3 linked regions of the Macaca mulatta genome follow. The protein of the gene in region 3 interacts with the protein of the main gene of each other region in a pairwise test. Links are inferred from orthologs where the notes say so. Each region holds a gene or a part of one and is shown on either strand. Other genes may lie near its edges.

Region 1 (4,859 bases), on a different chromosome or scaffold from region 3:
AACTCCATAAAGGACATATAAAACTAAATGAATGAAGTGAACACCCCTGAAATCATTATCCAGGATGAGAAACAACTTTGCCAACTACCCTCAAAGCCCTCCACTTGCCCAACCCAACCATATCTCATTTCTTCCCCTTCTAAAAGCAACCACAATCCAGGGGGGTGAAACATGGCTCAATATAAGGAAGCGTTTCCTGACAATCAAGGCCACTGAATTCCCTCACAGGGGAGCTGGGGCTTTAATTCATGGGAAGTGCTTACAGCAGAAGTCTTCTTTTTGCCAGAGATGTAAGGCATGTTAAGAGAAGCCTTTAAACAGTATATGCATACCCATATAGTCTACTAGGAGAAGATCAATAGTCTCACAGGAAAAGGACTAAGCACCTTCCCAGAACTGGAAACAGATTCACATTTCAAAGCTCTATTTTTGGGGTGGAGGCCAAGCCACTTAGGCTGCTGGCACCAAGATGGAAGCTGTATGCAAACTGACATCTCAGACTCTCCCAACACTCTCAAGATTTTATCCAAATGATCTATTTTCAGTCCTGTTTTTAGAATAACACAGATGAAACTTGTAAGAGGAAATCTTAACAGTATTTTCAGAATGCCAGCAGAATAACATTTCAACTGGATTTACATTTCTTACAGTGAGAAAATGGCAGTTTCCAAGTTCTCACTCCAGCCTTCAGCACCACATCCTCCCCTATCCTCCCCTTGACCCCCACCCCACTGCAGTGGAACTTGGACTCCTTGATCTTATTCAGATCCTAAATGAACATACTCCATTTTCACAGCAGACTGAAAGGAAGGTTGGTGAACAATCTTGGGAGTGGGTCAAATGAAAATAATTTGGTATGCCTGGCCCAGAACATACACACTTAAGCAGGAGGCACATCTTTTTTGAGTTGACAATATCATATCAGAAGACGAAGAAAATTCATATCTGACACACAGTGATGTCTGGTCATAAAGAGCAAATGACTAAGAAAAGGAGGCAAACCATGTACCTCCATAAAACCCTCAAACCTGCCAACATACTCCATATGGCTTGCAGCACATGGCTCATTCCTTCCCACAATTTCCAGCTCCACCTCCCATTCAAAGCCAGCCATGTATCTTAGAGCAGACAGGAAGCATAAGAATTACTCACAGATAACTGCTGAAGAAGCACATCGATTCCATCCAGCTCCCCAAGCAATTCCCTGTTTTCTAAAAGGGGGAAAAAATAGAGGAAGAAAAAAAAATGAACCTAACTGTCAGATTTTACAGCCGTCTAACACTGATACATCAGCAAACAAAATCAATACAGCTTGACAGAGTACAAAAGCAGCACAGGGAGCGAGAGGGAGAGCAAAGGGATGCCAAAGGCAAGAGAGCTTGCTGTCATGATCTGAAACAAGCCTGGCTCCTATCCTAACAGAATATCAATACTGAGAGGGCGCCTCACCATCATTGTCCTGGAGCAGTATGGCCAGCACTTCACTGCAATACAGTTTGTTGGCATCGAAAGGCATCTTTGCCTATGGGGAAATAGGAGAAATGAGAAAAATGTTAAGAGGTCTTGCTTCCTTCCCCAGGACAAATTTTTCATGAGTACTACGATCTGAGTTAGAGAGAAGGAGAAGTTAGAAAGGGAAAAGGCAGTTAAGGGGAAAAACGTCGGCCTCTGCTCTCAAGAGACCAGAACCAAGTAAAGTGACAGACTGAAACAATGGTTCTCACACTCTTAATGCCCAGGTATTAAGGTTACCTCCTCGGTAAAGACTTCCAAGATTTCCCATTTTGAGTCCAGAGATTATATATGTCTAGCCCATAGTACTCAAATGTGAACTAGAAGAATGAGAGTTTTGAACTTTTAAGACTAAAACTCACCATGAAGCTTAATGCACAAGCTACAATCATGAAATTAGGCTATAAATTAGTTAATATATGAGCAGAGAAGTTGAAAAGAAAGCAATTCTTGATTAACTGAATATATTTATCACAAAGTAGTTCCTTCTGGATTTTTTTAATGCTTAAAATTTAATTTGAAATCATAAACCTATCTGCTTGCATGCCATAATCTGCCTATTATTTAAAAAGGAAACCACATTAAATATGCAAAAATGTGTTAATATTTTAACACCCAAATTACTACCCACAATTCTTTCCCTGCTGCATGGTCTGCTACTTGGGAGTTTCAGAGGGGACACATCTACTGCACAGACTATTTTTCATGGCTGTCCTCACTGTTGCTTCGGTAGTGAGACTTAAATATCTCACCATTATCACTGCCCCTTGGATGAAGGTGCACAGAGAGGAGCGAGTCTCAGTGATGTGTTTTTATTTATGGTGTCCATGATCCTTAAAATGCAGGCATGTAAACAATGACTATTAATCAGCAGCAACCTTTGCTACCTATCTGTGTTTTTGAAATGACAAAGAATTTCTGTACTTGGAAAAGACAAGGGAAGTATTTATTTTGGAACTAACACTTCCGTCACCTTACCACCATTCACAGATCTGTTTAGACACTGGTTTTGTACTTAAAGAGGAAGAGTTGCACCTAATCAAGCAATATTCAGCATCATTTCAGTTTTCTGTGCACGTCTCCCTCATCAAGCTAAGTGCAGCCTACAGAGTTTCAGGAGGTCGACCAAGTATGACCATCTTAGGTTAAAAGATCTATAAATGCAAGGTCTTACATGTGCTAAATGTAAGGTATGCTCCCGGGGCAAGCTTGAAGCCTTGTTTCAAGAAATTCAGCATAATAGTCAGGGCTTAATGCAATCTGTGGTATGTTTCACTTTAAGAAAAATGGTTTCATATTAACGAAAATCAAAACATGAAGGTGAAAAGCCAAGGAGTAAGCATCCCTATCAAAATCAAGGATTCGCGAATAAAATTTCCCACTCAAACTATATAAGTTCCAAGTATTGCTATTATATTTTGAAAGATTTAAGCCGCACCAACTTAAACGTTAGCTTTGCAAGGGCCATGGTTCTTGTTTAAAACAAGATACTTAACTGAAAGAAGTCACAAGACAGTAGGTCATTAGAGCCACGGCCTTTCTGTGGATCTAATGCCTCTTGTCCTTTATTCAATTTTGTAAGCTCCTATTTTCAAGTTGGAGGCAGTTTTTCTTCCTTTCAATAAATACTTATTAGGCACCTGCTATAGGGAAGACACAGAATTAAGCAAGAGAACAAACAGGTGTGACTTAGATCTGAACCCTGTCCACTGTTGTGGCATTTAAAAACCTTACACTGAATTAAAATTAATTCTGTAGAAATGTCAAATTTCAAAAAAGAAAAAAAAAACACACGGATCTGGCATTAGACACACCTAAGGCTGACTCACGAGCACGCCACTGCCTATGTGAACAAGTCTGCTGTTCTCCAACTATGTGCTGTGGCAACTGGGGTGCCACACTGAATTCACCACAGGATATTTAAAAATTTCATGGAGAACACAGGGAAATGTGACATCTGTTGGGCACTGCATTAACTAGCATCTCAAGGTACATTTCTTCTGGTGACATCCTATCTTTGTGGAGCTGTGTTTGGATAGCTGCTCTGACAAAAATAACTGTGAAAATGGATGTGAAATCAGAATGACGGCGGTGGTGTTCAATCGGATCCTAAGGTTGGAGGATTTGAGCAGTATCAAAAGGCACACATACCATTAGGAAGTAACTATGGTATTTAAAAATGAAATAAAAATATTTTTTCTTTCAATTCGTGTGTACTATCTTCTCAAATGGCTAACAAATTGTAAGGGCATAAATACATATTAAATGGTTTGGACATAACTACTTAATAAATGAGACTATTAGGTACTTTTTGGCATAGCGGTGCTGTAAAAACAAAATTACTGAGACACTAAAAAACACCGTAAATTGACAATAGGAATCCATGACCCAAGGAACGTTCTTGGTCTCAGTTTCCTCATCTGTAAAATGAAAATAAAAAATAGCACTTTTTAAATTAAGGGCACTGACATGAAAAAAAGAAAGAAGAAATAGAAAGAATAGAAAAAAAAAAAAACACTTATTTGGAGAGTTACTATGAGAATTTAAAAACATAATATGAAAGTACCTAACACACAGTAGGTACCACAAGTTTTTCTGACAACCATAACCAGAAATATCTGCATTAGAATCTCAGCTCTAACAGTTACCAGCTATGTGACTGGCCAAATTAATATCTTCCTCATGAAGTGGCTGTACTAAGGGAACTGGTGTATACGTAACAGGCACCGACCAGCTGAGTTTCTTGCTATTGAGAATTCCTGGTTCCGCAGAAAATCTCCACCTTCTGCTGTAAGACACTACTAAGAGTTTCCAATCTACCCAAAGTAAGTTTTTAAAAACCAGACTGATAACTTCATCATTTTTTAATTAAAACGTAAGTTCTGACTGACAAATTGACATGAAGGAAGAATCTAATCAGGAAACCAAAATGATGAGGCCTGATAACTCCCCAACGCTGAGCTCTGCAATGCTTCAGAACCTAAAAGCAGTACCCGCTGGGAAGCAGCTTGGCGAGAGGAGGTGGCTTCAGAGATGCCAAGGCCCAATGCTCACAGGCTCTCCCACGTGGTTCCCATGTGGTTTGAGCAACACCATTTCCTCTCTCTGGGATTCTTTCTTTACCTGTAAACTGGGGATAACTGCACCCTCTTGGCAGGGTTGTGAGGATTAGAAATAATGTATGTGGCCAGGCCCAGTGGCTCACACCTGTAATCCCAGCACTCTGGGAAGCTGAGGTGGGAGGATCACTTGAGCCCAGGAGTTCAAGACCAGCCTGGGCAACATAGTGAGACCCCATCTCTAAAAAAAATACAAATATTAGCCAGGTGTGGTGGTGTGTACCTGAA
Region 2 (3,718 bases), on a different chromosome or scaffold from region 3:
CCTTGGTGTGTGTGTGAGACTGTGTGTGTGCATGTGCATATGTGTGTACAGTGTACAGTTGGCCCTTGGGGTGTGTGTGAGACTGTGTATGTGTGCATGTGCATACGTGTGTAAAGTGTACAGTAGGCCCTTGTGTGTGTGTGAGACTCTGTGTACATGTGCATACGTGTGTAAAGTGTACAGTTGGCCCTTGGGGTGAGACTGTGTATGTGTGCATGTGCGTACATGTGTAACGTGTACAGTAGGCCCGTGTGTGTGAGAGACTGTGTGTGCATGTGCATACGTGTGTAAAGTGTACAGTGGGCCCGTGTGTGTGTGTGAGACTGCGTGTGCATGTGCATACGTGTGTAAAGTGTACAGTAGGCCCTTGTGTGAGTGTGTGTGAGACTGTGTGTACATGTGCGTACATGTGTAAAGTGTACAGTAGGCCCGTGTGAGTGTGAGAGACTGTGTGCATGTGCATACGTGTGTAAAGTGTACAGTTGACCCTTGGTATGTGTGTGTGTGTGACTGTGTGTGTGTGTATGTGTGCATGTGCATACATGTGTAAAGTGTACAGTAGGCCCTTTGTGTGTGAGAGAGACTGTATGTGTGCATGTGCATACGTGTGTAAAGTGTACAGTTGGCCCTTGGTATCCGCGGGTTCCATAACCATCAATTCAACCAATCTCCAGTCGAAAATAATTGGGGAAGAAAAGGATGGCTGCGTCTGTACACTGTATAACAACTATTTACATGGCGTTTACATTGTATCAGGTACTGCAAGTACTCTAGGGATGATTTAAAGTATATGGGAGGATGTGCATAGGTTGTATGCAAATATTGTGTCATTGTATCTAAGGGACTTGAGCATCCTCGGGTTTTAGTGTCCACAGGGGGTTTCCTACAGATACCAAGAGACTACTGTATGTGTGTGTGCAAGTGTGAGTGTGTATGCATGTATGTGCATATGTGCATGTCATGTGTGTGTACGTATGTGCATATGTGCATGTCGTGTGTGCATGTGTGCTTGTATGCATATGTGCATGTTGTGTGTGTGCATGTGTGTGTATATGCGTGTATGGGTGTATATGTTAGTACATGTGACAGTGCGTGTGTGCGCATGTGTGTGGGTGACTGCATGTGTGGGTGAGGGCACGTTTGTGCGCGTGTGTGTGCATGTGTGTGCTCGTGTGGGTGAGTGCATGTGCACACGTGTGTGAGAGAGCGTGTGTGTGCGCGCATGTGTGTGGGTGAGAGTGCATGTGCACGTGTGTGAGCAGGCGTGTGTGTGCGCGCATGTGCGTGGGTGAGAGGGTGCTTGTGTATATCCATGTATGACTGCATATGTATTTGCATGAGTGTGTGTGTGAGTGCATGTTTATAAATGTGTGAGGGTCTGTGTGTATGTGTATGACTACATGTTTATGTGTTATATGCATGTGTGTATGTGTGTACATGTGTATGTGCATGCGTATATGTGTATGTGTGTGCATGCGTGTATGCATGTGTGAGTGTATGTGTATGTGTGTATATGCATGTGTATGTGTGTACGTGTGTATATGCATGTGTGCGCCTGTGTATGTACGTGTATGCATGTGTTAGTGCGTGTGCATGTGTGTACGAGTATGTGTACATGTGTGTATGTGCATGTATGTGTATATGTGTGCGTGTGTGTGTGTATACATGCATGTGTCTGGCTCCCTCAGGATGGTGCCCAGGTGGATGGGTCAGTGCTCCTGGGTTTATTTGCCCCTGGTGGCCCATGTCTGAGCCCTGCCCCCTATGGCTCTGTCTGCAGGTTCTCCCATGGGCAGGTGGTCCCTCTGGATGAGCTGCGCCCCTTCCAGGACCCAGACCTGAGCTCCCTGCAGGCCGGCTCTGCGTGTCTGGCCAAGCACCAGGATGGCCTCTGGCATGCGGCGCGCATCACCGGTGAGGCTGGCCGTGGAGGCCTTCCGGGAACACCCTCCCAGGCTCCACACGTGTTATTACTGCGTGGCTGCTCCCTGCCTCCTTTGGGATGAGTGTTGGGACTCTGGCTCTGGGCCCGAAATGAGCACATCTACCCTCAGCCTCTGCCCTGCCTTGCTCCTGATGTCCAGGGTGGTTCCCCATCAGTGGCAGCTGCTGTCAAGGATGCTGACCTGCAGCTTGTCTCTGCCTCTAGATGTGGACAATGGCTACTACACAGTCAAGTTTGACTCGCTGCTGCTGAGGGAGGCCGTGGTGGAGGGGGACGGCATCCTGCCCCCACTGCGCACAGAGGCCACAGAGTCCGACTCAGACAGCGATGGCACAGGTGACTCCAGCTATGCCAGAGGTATGGCAGCAGCTGTGGAACCCAGGAGCCAGGAAGGTGGGGTCACCCTGAGAGGCTCCTGGCTTTTGAGGGCACCGACCGTCTAACCAAACTATTGGAGAGAGTGGCCACAGCGAGGGCGCCAGCCGTGCCTGGGGAGGCCGTGTGGGGCAGGGGTACAGGAGTGCGAGTGAAGGGCCGGGGTAGATCCGTGGTGGCCTTTGTCTTCAAGGAGCGTGGGTACAACAACTACAGTCTCACTGATGGGAGGCCATGGTCATGGCTGTGGCCATGGGAGAGGAGGCGCCCGGAGTTGCCAAGGAAGTCACAGAAAATGAACAACCGATGAGGCCTGGAGTGCAAGAGGGGCAGCTCCTCTGCATGGCTTCTCAAACTTGGGACCTGGGTGCCTGGTGGATCCTGGCAGACAGAGGTGGTGTCCAGACAGCCAGGGTGGAAGCTTCGGGAATGGGAACTAGTGGCCGGTGGCCAGCTCTCCAGAGGGGTGTGTGTATACGTGTGTGTGTATATGCGGGAGGTCACCTGACCCAAGCATGGTGGGCTGAGTCCAGGAGGGGTCTGCATGTTGGAGGTGTACCCAGGGATCAGTGATGGTGGTTTCTGAAGCCCCAAGTCCCTGGTGAAGGAGGACCAAACCAAGGACTCTGTGAGGGCAGGTGAGGAGCTCATGGCCTTGCGAAGGTGGAGAAGGGCAAGGGCAGGAGAGGGCTGTGGAGGAGGGGTCACGGTGCAGGAGGCCGTGGGGACTGCCATGCACTCTGCCTGGTGTCACATGCCCACAGCAGCCTCAGTGACAGAGCACGGAGCCCCAGAGGTGGGGTGTTGGGGCTCTGCCCAGGATCTGAGCTCATTGGTCAGAGCCCAGGTCACCATGCATAGTCCTCTGCCCTGGCCGGCCACTGCCCTCTGTCCTTCTCTTGCAGTGGTGGGGTCGGACACTGTGGACTCCGGGACCTGCAGCTCTGCCTTTGCCGGCTGGGAGGTGCACACGCGAGGCATAGGCTCCAGACTCCTCACCAAGATGGGCTACGAGTTTGGCAAGGGTGAGTACAAGCAGCCCTGGAGAAGTGGGCAGAGGCTGCAGCATAGCCCAGGTCCCGCAGCCATCAGATTCCCCGGGGGTCCCGCAGCCATCAGGTTCCCGGGGCTCCCGCAGCCGTCACGTTCCCGGGGGTCCCGCAGCCGTCACGTTCCCGGGGGTCCCGCAGCCGTCACGTTCCCGGGGGTCCCGCAGCCATCAGGTTCCCAGCGTCCGGCAGCCACAGCACTGCCGTTCCTGTCTCAGGTTTGGGCCGACACGCAGATGGTCGGGTGGAGCCCATCCATGCTGTAGTGTTGCCACGAGGGAAGTCGCTGGACCAGTGTGTGGAGACGCTGCAGAAGCGGACCAGGGTTGGCAAGGCTGGCACCAACAAG
Region 3 (5,364 bases):
CTGTTTCCTGGCCTGTGTACCTGATCAGAATCGTTATGATCTCTGAGGTTTTCTCCTGATTTTTGAGAATCCTGCTCTGCTATGGATGGGGTGGCCAGCAGAACAGAGACAGACCAACTAAGGAGCCTTTTAAATACAGGACTATTAAAGTAGCAAATCATTGTCCTTTCTGTGACCAGCTTCTGGGGCTCCGTGATTACATGTTAAACAACAGGATCAGATGGGAGTATTTTGTAGCTGAGAGACCAATACCAGAAAAATTCCCCTTTACCCCTTCAACAGTATGTTCCTGCCTATTTACAAGAACATTTAGCATCATTTCCTTCTCAAATGGGCCATCCTGTACTCTGGAGCTAGAAGACAGTACGAGGAGAACACTGACATTCAGTGCCTACCAGTTTCTCTCCTAGGGAGCTGCACTGTTGACAGCTCTTAGTAAGAGATCACACCCTTGCCTTTACGAGGTATTTCTGTCATTTTATATAAAAGCACAAAGACACAGTGGTCAGCACAAGACTACAGCCTGTGGAAAGCATAATCACTGTCAGAGGACATCAAATCCAACACACTGGTGGGATGGCAGGAAAGCAGACTCGAAAGGAGTTCAGAGTAAATGAGTCTCCTTGTTTGCTTGTTACTCATAACATTAGGCCTAAGCTGCTTTGCTGAAACACTTAGCTCTGTGCTTTCCAAGCCATAGAAATTATACTTACTCCAATGTGTGAGACTAAAACTCACTGCACACTGAGCTGAATGACATTCGATGTGCAGCAATGCCACTTCAGGCAGTTCATTACGTTGCTTTATTCATAAGGCTGGGAGACAGGGTGGAACCACACGAATTTAACATCTTGCTGTGCCTGAAATGTTCATTAAGTGCTCTTATCTGCAGTCACCTGCCCACCCGATAGAACCACTCTCCACTAATTTAGAGACAATAATCTGTGCACATTTAAATTACGATGAACAGGAACATTTCCACTGGAAAAATCATCACACATCTTGATTTGCACTGCCAATTAGGTCTTTAGAAAAGGAAAAAAAAAAACCAAAAAACCCCTGATCATCTTACATATAGTAATTTGCCTTAATTGGTGCATAATGGATCGGATATAATTTGTGGGTAACCCCTACATGATAAATAGTTTATTTAACATTTTAGAACTACCAAAAATTAGCCTCATTATATGGCAGTAAACGTTCACTTCCAACTATACATTCTGGGACTTCTGAGTTTCCTAAGCATGAATTATGAATATCAGTGGTGGAAGTACAAAGGACTCTCCAGCCTAACAACAGGAGTGATACATTCCAGAAACATTTTCTGATTACATTCACAAGGAGCTCAGGATAAATTGCAGATACATTTCCTGATTAAACTCACAAGGAGCTCAAATCTCCATCCAGAGGGTTTGTTTTTTGTTTTGTTTTGTTTTGAGTCCTGTAGCAGCAGAAACTCCTAGAAGGTTAGGACACTGGCCGGGAGTGGTGGCTCACGCCTGTAATCCCAGCACTTTGGGAGGCCGAGGCGGGTGGACCACCTAAGGTCAGCAGTTCAAGACCAGCCTGGACAACATTGTGAAACCCTGTCTCTACTTAAAAAAAATATATATATATATATATATAAAAATAATTGGGCGCGGTGGCGGGCGCCTGTAATCTCAGCTACTCGGGTGGCTGAGGCAGGAAAACTGCTTGAACCTGGGAGGCGGAGGTTGCAGTGAGCGCCATTACACTCCACCCTGGACAAAAGCGAAACTCCGTCTCAAAAAAATAAAAAAAAATTGGATGCTAATTTTTTACGGTATTAAAATTAGCACAGTAATTAAATTTTTTACGGTATTAAAATTAGCACAGTAATTAAATGTTTTACGGTATTAAAATTAGCACGGTAAAAGCTAGTGGCAAAAAATAAAAAATAAAAAATCGAACCCTGTCTCATTCCCTAGGCTTTACTGTTTGTTTCCCTTGCTTTTCAGAGTTTCTCTCACAGGAGGCATTTTAAAAATATTCTCAGAAACATCAACAACAGATTTTTCTCAAACGACCATTTTCAGGAAGGCTTCAGAAACTACTAAAAGGCCAAAGCTACCGTTAGTGGCTCGGTCTTTGCCGCCAGACTCGGGCAGGTGACAGCGGCTTGGGCTCGGGCACCTGGCACTCAGCGCCTTCCAATGCTGGCGGCCCCGCCTCCCCTTCTCCCCGGCCAGGCACGCAGGTGGAGGAAAGTAAACACCAGTCGGAGGCAAAGTGGAAGCAGTGAGTCTAGCGACTCTCACAAAAACAAGTGGAAAAAAAAAAAAAATCCTCGCACAAAGCATCTCTGTACTCACAAGCAGAGGCGTGGCTGCTTGTTTCCCTTTTTAAAGGTTGCATTTTTAGTTCTTTTGAAAAATGTTTTTATTGCTTACTTCTAAGTAAACATTTATCTCCATTACGATAACGTAGAGTAAAGCTCTTTTAAGAGGTAAAAAGAGAAAACTGAAGTCACGTTCACATTCCCACCACTCACTGAAACGTTTGGAGGAACTTACTCAACTGTTTGCTAATGAGTTTTAAAGGATAGTTAGGCCCTTAACGCGTAATTGGGGTCGTGCTGTGCATATGATTTGGGATCTTGCAGCTTGTTTAACTTGGCCCAATGACGTTACCATTTCCCCCAAATGGTTACTAATTCCTTGAGAACGTTTACAAAAGTTCTAGAATAAACACTAAAGTTACTCTTTTTAAACTCCATTATCCAAGTTGGACTGGTCTGGCGATCGACTATTAAAAAAAATAATACAACTTTCTTAAGCTTCCTGATCTCTGTGCCAATTCCCGGAGAAAGTGTTGGGAGTGCACAAAAAAGCCCCTCCCCCGTCTCAGGAGGGCTGCAAACGCAAGCGCTGCGCCCCGCTAGCTCCCCGCCTGCACCCCTGGCAGCCACCCGAGACTGAGCAGAGCGCCAGGCTGAGCGCAGTTCTGTGCTGGGGCGACCGGGCTCTGTGGTCCGCGTGGCACAAACGTGACCCACCGCGCACACCTGCAGGGCGCGCCCACTCCGGCACTCACTCGGCTGGGCGCGCCAGATTCCCAGCAGAGCAGCCAAGGGCCACGTTTCCAGCCCAAGGCCAGCAGGACCGAGTCGCAAAGGGAAGTCAAACTGTCGGTGCTTCCGGACGGCGGCGGACGGCCAGACCCTCACCTGGTAGCGAGTCGCCAACTCCATGCTTCCTGACGGGGCGCCAGTCTCCTCCCAGCACGCGGCCACGGGAGCCCGGACTCGCCACGGTCCGGCGCACCAAGAACGCCCCGCACCCGAGCAGCCAGCGCGCAGCGCCCGGAGCACAGGCGGGCCCCGGGAGGGGCGCACTCGGCGCTCGGGACAGGGGGAGCGCGTCGCGCTGCCCGCTCGGTGCCGCCTCACTGGGCCTCGTGGCTCCGACCACCGTCCCAACTTCGCGGCCACTGACCTTGTCTTCGCAGGCGGCGCGAGAGGGGGCTGCAGTTGGGGGTGGCATGAGCAGTTACCAGTGTTAGGGCGCCGGGTTCCCCCCTGTAGGGGAGGGAGGGAGTGGAGCCGTCCGGCGGGGTTTAGCGCGGGAGAAATGAGGGGGCTGTCCCGGCGCAGCCTCCAGCTGGCACGCGCGCAGGATACTTGGCAGGGTTTATTCCAGGTCATGCCCTAGGGCTCGAGCTTCTGCTGCAACCCCTGTCTCTGATCCAGGAAAATATTGTAGGGCGGTTTTGGGGCTTGTTTTGTTTTGTTGTTGTAAAGGGGCAGCGTTCTCTTTGGGAGGATTCCGTCTCCCAAAACATTTGCTACAGGGTTCACTTTGCAAAACGGGCAACCCAGGTTTCTTTACTAGGGCCCCGGTGGACACTGCAAATCCGCCTGAAACTTTAAACGGCCATTACACAGTAGGCCTCCACACCCACCAAACAGAGTTTGTAGAGGTCAGGAATGCTGATTAATTTAGCAGAATTGACCCCGGCACCTACTAAGCATCAGGCACTGGGTTAGTCCTAGGAACAGAAGGGTGAACAAAAACAGGCCCCTGCTCTGTTGGAGTTTACAGCCTGAGAGCCAGTTACCAACCTAATTGCATTATTCTAAATAAATACAACAATGATGCAAATAAGCGTAATGATAACAATGATGTAAATTTTATAAATTAGATTTATAATTAATATTAATTTGATACCACTAGCAATGACAAATGTAATGATGATGCAAATAAATGTCAATTTGGAGCGATGATGCCATGAGAAAAAAGGCAAGTGGTATTATGGTGGTGTAAAATAGGGAGACAATCTGGGAGAGGTAAGGGAATACTTCTTAGAGCTCAGGTATGAAGAGTGAGGAATTAAGTTTGTGGAAATTGTGCGAGACTTGAAGTAGAGAGTGGGGAGAATGGTAAATGAAGTTGTCCTGAAATCACAGCAGGTTTGCTGGACAGTGTCGAACGCCTATTTAGAACCGTGGTCATGGGTTTACAATAGAGCATCCTGTATGCATAGGACCTTCTGCAGCCCCTCTCAACTGCTTAGGATCTGACGTTCATCTTTATTGAGTGAGTGAATGAAATTTGCTAAACATTTACTCAAGCTTTAAGAGAAAACATGGAAAAGGTTTATTTCCTTTGGTTAGTTCAGCAAACAACATGTGTTATGTGCTCTCATGTTCCAGCCCTCAGTGTTCTTACTTCCTGGTAGTAGTAAGACCAATACAACATTGTCTAACTTAAAATGTTTTATTTTTATTGGATGTTAATTATTCATTGTAGCTACTTCATTTTTATTATGCTTTAGAGTTTTCCTTCACATGCAGTATCTCTTTGAATCCTCTCAATATCCTTCCAGATTCTTATTGTCCACATTTTTAAAATAAGGAAACAGAATCTAAGAAAATACATTTAAGAGATCCCTGCCACCCTGCCACTAAGTGACAGCAGCAGACTGCCAAACTGAAAACCATTCCTTATTCCTCCAGATCCAACATTCTTTCCCTTTCTTGTAGTTTTTCCCTTTGGCTGCCAGGAAGCTTACAGTGAAAATTAATTCAATCAGAGCTCTTCTTCCTTGTTTTGTGGGGGCTTTTTTTGTTTTTTGTTTTTTGGGGTTTTTTTTAAGATAATTGCTTCCTCAGGAACTGCTGATCTTATTTGCACACCTTTTCGTTGTAGGTTAAATCAAATCCATTTTGGAAAAGGGAGCACAAATTTGAAGCAGGTCAGATTTTGCAAAGCACTTGAAGCAGCGTAGCCTAGCTACTTCTGTATCAGGAAACCTATAAGCTGTTGAGCCTTTCTCTTCAGAAATTTGCTATAACCAGCCCTAAGTCCAGATGACAACCCGGAAATTTTCTTCCTGGGCTTAGCA

Evidence for each region. The genes of interacting proteins can lie anywhere in the genome.
Region 1: the proteins of CDCA7L (region 3) and CTNNBL1 interact in binary tests that used the Homo sapiens proteins (3 or more experiments, as listed by UniProt). The link is inferred for Macaca mulatta from reciprocal best matches to the Homo sapiens genes CDCA7L and CTNNBL1.
Region 2: the proteins of CDCA7L (region 3) and ZGPAT interact in binary tests that used the Homo sapiens proteins (3 or more experiments, as listed by UniProt). The two-hybrid records come from large-scale screens. The link is inferred for Macaca mulatta from reciprocal best matches to the Homo sapiens genes CDCA7L and ZGPAT.

What each region holds. Positions count from the first base shown.
Region 1 is NC_133415.1:90,637,449-90,642,307, reverse strand, and holds part of CTNNBL1 (beta-catenin-like protein 1), read right to left. Parts: intron 1,523-4,859; coding exon 1,450-1,522; intron 1,212-1,449; coding exon 1,153-1,211; intron 1-1,152. UniProt on the Homo sapiens protein: Component of the PRP19-CDC5L complex that forms an integral part of the spliceosome and is required for activating pre-mRNA splicing.
Region 2 is NC_133415.1:116,592,461-116,596,178, forward strand, and holds part of ZGPAT (zinc finger CCCH-type with G patch domain-containing protein), read left to right. Parts: intron 1-1,780; coding exon 1,781-1,914; intron 1,915-2,126; exon of another isoform or gene 2,127-2,149; coding exon 2,150-2,302; exon of another isoform or gene 2,303-3,225; coding exon 3,226-3,345; exon of another isoform or gene 3,346-3,587; coding exon 3,588-3,718. UniProt on the Homo sapiens protein: Transcription repressor that specifically binds the 5'-GGAG[GA]A[GA]A-3' consensus sequence. Represses transcription by recruiting the chromatin multiprotein complex NuRD to target promoters.
Region 3 is NC_133408.1:106,352,586-106,357,949, reverse strand, and holds the start of CDCA7L (cell division cycle-associated 7-like protein), read right to left. Parts: upstream 3,336-5,364; 5' UTR 3,212-3,335; coding exon 3,188-3,211; intron 1-3,187. UniProt on the Homo sapiens protein: Plays a role in transcriptional regulation as a repressor that inhibits monoamine oxidase A (MAOA) activity and gene expression by binding to the promoter.